Linked DNA regions of Macaca mulatta. The protein of the gene in region 1 purifies or fractionates together with the protein of each later gene. This does not show direct contact. Links are inferred from orthologs where the notes say so. Each region holds a gene or a part of one and is shown on either strand. Other genes may lie near its edges.

The links. Proteins that work in one complex are often made in the same cells at the same time.
Region 2: the proteins of HCK (region 1) and HSP90AB1 purify together in Homo sapiens (affinity purification with mass spectrometry; 3 studies listed by BioGRID and IntAct, with this or other methods). This does not show direct contact. The link is inferred for Macaca mulatta from reciprocal best matches to the Homo sapiens genes HCK and HSP90AB1.

Annotation. Positions count from the first base shown.
Region 1 is NC_133415.1:84,924,156-84,927,073, forward strand, and holds the end of HCK (HCK proto-oncogene, Src family tyrosine kinase), read left to right. Parts: intron 1-1,738; coding exon 1,739-1,941; 3' UTR 1,942-2,278; downstream 2,279-2,918. UniProt on the Homo sapiens protein: Non-receptor tyrosine-protein kinase found in hematopoietic cells that transmits signals from cell surface receptors and plays an important role in the regulation of innate immune responses, including neutrophil, monocyte, macrophage and mast cell functions, phagocytosis, cell survival and proliferation, cell adhesion and migration.
Region 2 is NC_133409.1:137,866,748-137,870,979, forward strand, and holds the start of HSP90AB1 (heat shock protein HSP 90-beta), read right to left. Parts: upstream 2,944-4,232; 5' UTR 2,844-2,943; intron 1,445-2,843; coding exon 1,298-1,444; intron 686-1,297; coding exon 479-685; intron 376-478; coding exon 216-375; intron 33-215; coding exon 1-32. UniProt on the Homo sapiens protein: Molecular chaperone that promotes the maturation, structural maintenance and proper regulation of specific target proteins involved for instance in cell cycle control and signal transduction. Undergoes a functional cycle linked to its ATPase activity.

The DNA of each region.
Region 1 (2,918 bases):
CTTAGGTAACCCTCCTGTCTCGGCCTCCCAAAGTGCTGGGATTACAGACGTGAGCCACCGTGCCTGTCCGCACCCCTGTGACAATGGAGCAGTCACAAGATTTTGGCCACTCAACTCCAAAACATATTCCACGTCTCACCACTTTGAACCCCACAGTCTCCACTACATCCAGGCCAGTGTCGTCTCCCATAGATGGTGCAGCAGCCTCCTCATCAGTCTTACTGCTTTCTCCCTCCTCATCCTACAGCCTATTCTCCACATACAGCCAGGATAATTCTAAACTGTGAATCAGATCTTGTCCTTTCTCCACCTTTCTTTTTTTTTTTTTTTTTTTTTTTTGACAAGGTGTCACTCTGTCACCGAGGCTGGAGTGCAGTGGTGCGATCATAGCTCACTGCAGCCTCGACTTCCTAGGCTCAAGTGATCCTCCCACTTCAGTCTCCTGAGTATCTGGGACCAGAGGCATGTGCCACCATGCTTGGCTATTTTTTATTTTTTTGTAGAGACTTGGTCTCACTACATTGCGCAGCCTGGTCTCTAATTTCCAGGCTCAAACAATCCTCCAGCCTTGGCCTCCCAAAATGCTGAGATTACAGACACACACTACCATGCCCAGCTAATGTTTTAAATTTTTTGAGAGACAAGGTGTTGCTATGTTGACAGGCTGGTGATTTCCATTTTTAAGCAATGTTTTGGTTCAGCGTGGAGAGTGAATGGGAGGGAAGGGGAACAGGGTGGCAGCCATTGAGGAGGCCACAGCAGTGGTCCAGGCAGAGGTGATGATGGTCTGGACAGGGTGGTGGCATTCGTGACTGGCATACGTTGATGAACTGCTGCTACGTTTCAAAAGAAGAGAAGATTTGACTTGCTGACTTAGGAGGTGAGAGAGAGAGAATCAGGGATGATTACCCTGGCTTTGCACCATAGGGTGGGTAATGGTCTAGGGACAGAAATTGAAGAGCTCTGTTTTAGCTCTGTTAAGTTTGAGATGACTTAAGTATAGAGACATCCAAGTAAAGGAAGCACTTCAGTTCATGAGTTTGGAGTTTGAGACTGATAATATAAAATTGGGGATCACAGATATTGAATGGCTATTCTTATGAATAACTAATAAAAACTTAAATTGAACAAGAAAATAGTCCCATCCATAGGTTGACATTGAATCTGACCACCTGACTGTTTTGTCTTGAGGGTGCACTAGTTAAAACTAGGCAACACACAGTAGAAGCTAAATCCATTAGGATGTGTTCCGCAGCAAGCAACAAAATAACAGACAAAGAGTAACTGAAACAGAAGCAAGCTATTACTCCCCATCTGCCATGGGTGACTGGTTAGTTCAGCAGTTCAGCAGCTGTCAGGACTCTGGGTTCCTGTCTCTGTGATGGTCTTCTCCATGTTGTCAGATGGTTGTTGCAGCTCCAAGTATCATAAGTATCTCACAGTGTTCAAAGGAAGGGTGCGTTCTCCAAAGCCTCTCCTCTAAGCGGGAGGAAAACCTTTCCTGGCACTCTCCCAGCAGACCTCCCCATCCGCTCCCATTGGCCCAAACTGGGTCCCCGGCCTATGACCTAGCTGCAAGTGAAGCTGAGGGTGGAAGTCTCTGGCTTTCACAGTGGGAGGGGCTCAGCTTGCGAGCGAGGTGGGGAGTGATGGTTGCTGGGGGGGGCCACAGGACCTGCCACCCCTGGGCTCTCATTTCCCAACTGCTTCCTTTTTTAATTCCACGGCTCCTTTTCAGGGATGTCAAACCCCGAAGTGATCCGAGCTCTGGAGCGTGGATACCGGATGCCTCGCCCGGAGAACTGCCCAGAGGAGCTTTACAACATCATGATGCGCTGCTGGAAGAACCGTCCGGAGGAGCGGCCGACCTTCGAATACATCCAGAGTGTGCTGGATGACTTCTACACGGCCACAGAGAGCCAGTACCAACAGCAGCCATGATGGGGAGGACCAGGGTAGGGCCAGGGGGTGCCCAGGTGGTGGCTGCAAGGTGGCTCCAGCACCATCCACCAGGGCCCACGCCCCCTCCCTACTCCCAGACACCCACCCTCGCTTCAGCCACGGTTTCCTCATCTGTCCAGTGAGTGGGTTGGACTGGAAAATCTCTTTTTGACTCTCGCAATCCACAATCTGACATTCTCAGGAAGCCCCCAAGTTGATATTTCTATTTCCTGGAATGGTTGGATTTTAGTTACAGCTGTGATTTGGAAGGGAAACTTTCAAAATAGTGAAATGAATATTTAAATAAAAGATATAAATGCCAAAGTCTTTACCAAAAGGTTGGTTTTCTTGTCCTTCCAATTCCTGAATATCTATTTGCCATCTTGCTGTATGACAAGTCAGAAAGTGTGACGGACTCTCCTGGGGACCAGAAGTACAAAGACAAGTGGGGTTCAGACTGGGTGCAGTGACTCCCACCTGTAATACCAGTGCTTTGGGAGACTGAGGGGCGGGGGATTTCTTGAGCCCAGGAGGTCGAGGCTGCAGTGAGCTATGATCATGCCACTGCACTCTAGCCTGAGCAACAGAGTGAGACCACATTTCAAAAAAAAAAAAAAAGAAGAAGAAGAAGAAGAAAGAAAGGAAAGAAAAGTGGGGTTCGATACTTGAGGTTTTCTAACTGTCCTAAAATAGTTGCTGGCTGTATTCGTTTCCTCTTGCTCCTGTAACAAATTACCACATATTTGGTGGCTTAAGGCAACACAACTGCATAACGTTACTGGGCCAGGCATAATGGCTCATGCCTGTAATCCCAGCATTTTGGGAGACTGAGGTGGGTGATCACTTGAGATCAGGAGTTCAAGACCAGCCTGCCAACATGCTGAAACCCTGTCTCTACTAAAAATACAAAAAATAGCCAGGCATGGTGGTGGGCGCCTGCTACTGGGGAAGCTGAGGCAGGAGAATTGCTTGAACCC
Region 2 (4,232 bases), on another chromosome or scaffold:
GATCACTTTGGTACCTCTGCCAATGGGCTCACCTAGAAGAGTCAATCATAAGCGTGTAACAGGACGAAAGTATATGCAGTTGAGACTTCACCAAATTAATAAAGTATTAGCGGAACTGCTATGAAGAACTGCTTGACAGGATGCTCAAAATTTCTGCTACTGGTGAGCCCACAAAACTCTAACCCAGCTACCTTGTAACAGAAAAGCTAACTTACCATGGTCAGCCCGCACAGTGAAGGAACCTCCAGCAGAAGACTCCCAAGCATACTGTTCATCATCGTTGTGCTTTGTGATCACAACCACTTTCTCTGCCACCAGGTAGGCAGAATAAAAGCCAACACCAAACTGTCCAATCATGGAGATGTCTGCACCAGCCTGCCAACAAGTTTTTGTAAAGTCAAACACAAAATTTAAAGCAGCAAAAAAAATAAAGAACACTGATGAATATGAATGGTGTATGCCTACAGAACTGCAGTACCTGAAGAGCCTCCATAAATGCTTTAGTACCAGACTTGGCAATGGTTCCCAAATTATTTATGAGATCAGCTTTGGTCATCCCAATGCCTGTGTCTACCAAAGTCAGGGTACGTTCCTGAGGGTTGGGGATGATGTCAATTTTCAGCTCTTTACCACTGTCCAACTTCGAAGGGTCTGTTAAGCTCTCATAGCGAATCTTGTCCAAGGCCTGAAACGAATACAAACAGCAACTTACTTTTGCTCTCTCCGAGACAGGCAATTGCTCTGTTGCCCAAGCTACAGTGCAGTAGTAGCAAGGATGACAGCTCACTGCAGCCTTGACCTCCCTGGTTCAAGCCATCCTCCACCCCAGCCTCCCAAGTAGCTGGGACTACAGGCACATGCCACTGTGCTCAACTAATATTTAATTTTTTGCAGAGACAAGGTCTGGCTGTTGCCCAGGTTGCCCTCGAAATCCTAGGCTCAAGTGATCCTCCTGCCTTGGCGTTACAGGTGTGAGTCAACACGCTCGGTCACTTTTGCTTTCTTAAAGCCCGTGTCTTCAAAGAAAATCTTGGTTTACCTCTCTCAGCCTCAAATCTGATTGCCCCTTATCTTGAGGCTTTAGAACTACAGTTAGTTACATGAGCCCACTTTTTCTGGACATAGTCACTTCCCTTTCAAGTTCAAGATGGCCAGAGAATAAGACAAATCTTTTTGGAATAGTTGCAAGTTTACCCCCTTCAATAGTAGTCCCCAACAAAGGCCAAACCACTCCTTTCCTCTCTACGAAGAGTGTCAAAAAAATAAACACACCAAATATAGAAACCACAGCACTTACATCAGAAGCATTAGAGATCAACTCCCGAAGGAAAATCTCCTTGTTGGAATAGAAGGTATTGATGATGAGGGACATGAGTTGGGCAATTTCTGCCTGAAAGGCAAAAGTCTCCACCTCCTCCTCTCCATGGTGCACTTCCTCAGGCATCTAAAATAAAAATGATCATTAATTACAAAACATGAAGGCCTCACATTTTAAAATCCTAAAGGTCATCTCATTTGTTAGGACCTTAAGAGTTGAGACTGGTTTGACCTGAGTACTATCCCTTCCGAAAAGACCGAAAAAGCATTCTCTTAAAAGATCTCAGGCTACACACTAAGTGGGAAGCCTGAAAATTCAGAAGGAAAAAGAAAATAAGCTGAATGTTCTTCAACCAAATGTCACAGAACCCAGCTACTTAGAGTGGTGACCAGCAGTCTCAGCGTCATCCGGTAGTATGGCAGAAACTCATAATGCTGGTCCAACCCAGGTATCCAGAGATCCCAGATAATCCTTACACAAATTTAAATGTGAAAATCGCTACCTACAGTTCTTCATTTGGAGATCAAAGTAACTAGTTTGGCACTAACTTTAAACTGCTCCCCCTGAGATGTCTTCCTAAGACCAGCCCAAGGGCGGGACACTCCTACCCTACACTGCAGGGAGGAATAACCTGGGATCCAGAGGATACCCGCCCGAGGGGCAATTAAATCCGGACAAAGAATCGATAAGCCAAAAGCTCCACTACGACCCCTTCACAGGACAAAATTACAGAACAGGCCCAAACCCAACAGAAGGAAGATGGTGGCCGTAACCACCAGGCCGACACTCGTCACTGCCGGACATGCGTCGGCAGGGACCACGCGAGGAGGGGGCGCCGCCGTGCACCCTCCTTCGCCCCAGCATCCGGGCACTGGGGCGGGGCGCCAGAATCCAGAAGCTTCCAGAACAATCTCAGCTCTAGAGGACGGGCGGAGGAGGGAGCCCATGAATCTTCCAGAACCTGCCCCCCTCCCCAACCCTCCTCCACCGGGACTGCAATAAAGATCTGGAAGGAGGGAGTATGGGGTGCTGGAGACCGAAAGCGCTCCTCCCACACCATGAACCCTCACAGAAACAAAGCACCCAAGGCGGCTTTAACAACGCGTCCGATAAGAGATGTGGCAAAGCCAGTCCCACAGGGCCGTGCTGAGTCACCCGAGCAGGCACCCCCGCCATCCTGCGGTCCCCCTCCGACGCCCTATAGCCGCGTCCGGAAGTGGAGGGGCAAAAATGGCAGCGTCCCGGGCCGCGCGGCCACCACGTGCAGCTGCCCGCCGCGCACTGCCCCAGCCCCACAGCCCACCTCGCTACGGCTAGGAGGAGCCAAGAGAAAGCCCCACCGCCCAAGCACACTAGAGAAAACCGAGGAAAACTCAAGAGCCCTCACCTACCACTACCCTCACCCTATAAAAATCCAGGGCGTTATCCACAAGCCACCCCGGTATCTAGGCTCCCTAAAGGACAGAAAAAAACAAGAGCAACACGAAAGAGCACTAAAGAAGCCTAACGAAGAATTCAGCCTTACCTTGAAAAGAAAAGGCTTACACGTATTAGAGAAGAACGTGGGCTTGCTTTCTGATGACTACCAGGCACAAAACGCTGCGCCGGAGTGACTAGAGAGAGCTACTGCGTGCCCCAAGTCTCCCTATATAAGGCGAAGCACAGAACAGCCGCCCTCCCGTGGATCCCTCCGCCTTAAAGGAGCATGCTTGTCAAGTCCGCACCTGCCGCCACCAGCCCACCTTGACGTCATGGTCCGAAAAAAGGAGGGGGCGGGGAAGAACCCAAGCAACGGATCCACCCACACGTTTGCTTGTGATCACAGCCCCATATCTTCATGTCTAGGACCTGACCCCATCAAGAGCTGGGATAAGGAGTGCTCATTTGGCATATACGGTGTCTCTACGGGCGAGGAATCCATTGACCTCCCTAAAAACCTGTGAGGCAGGAGTCCCCACACCCAAGGACAGAGCCCGGGGGAAACACCTAAAAAGAGCCGAGGCAGCTAACCACTCCGACCGCTGCTCCCATACCCAATCTTCTTCCTAGCATATGCCCTACACATTTCGCATCCCGACAGAGGGACTGGCATTCGGGACCCGACCTTGGTTAGCCCCAGATCCTGACTCTCCCAGGAGCAGAGGAAGGGCGGAGGGTTCGCAGTGTGGGGTATCTCAGCGTGGGGGGAGGGCGCCGGCCGGGGCCGGCGGGACTCTTTGCCGGCATGCGGCGGAAGGCGCGGCGGCGCTGCGGCTTTCCAGCAGTTTCCAGGCCTGTCTCGGCGGTCCCGCCCCCGCCCGCCCCCTCCCCGCGGGGCTCCGCCTCTCCGGCTGCGGCCAGAGCAGGGTTTTTGCAGCGACCCCACCCGGGGACCGGCTCTGACCTGTCGGAGACGACGCGAGTACTAGCCCAATCCTCAGGGATGGGATGGAGCGTTGGGGAGGGATCGGCTGACCCCTCCTTCCCCGCGTCAATCACACAACACCCAAGCACCTGGGGCGACTCTGCGGGCGTACCGTTTTGCACTCTGAGACTGGAGTCGCTACGGGAGGGACCCCCTCCAGCCCCTGCGGCCGCCACGTACACGGAGCACGGGGACATGCGCCCTCCCTACGCAGGCACGTCAAGCCCTTTCTCAAGCTGGTTCGCTTTTTTTCTCCCACTTCCCTCCTGCAGCTATTTGGACGTGGGAAGGAGGGAGTCTCTAGGAGCCACTGCAGGGCAACAGGAGCTCTTGGAGGCCGCGTGAAGACGCCGGCCAGAGAGCGGCTGGCCAAGTTGTTCCCCTTCAGCCTTGGCACCAGAACCCCTAGGCCATACTCCTGGTCAGTGAACTGCGGCCGCCGTCTCTGGCCTGTCTCCGCCCTTTTGCCTGCCCTCCAGTCGGCAAGCTGTCCTTGCCTTTCCAAGGCGT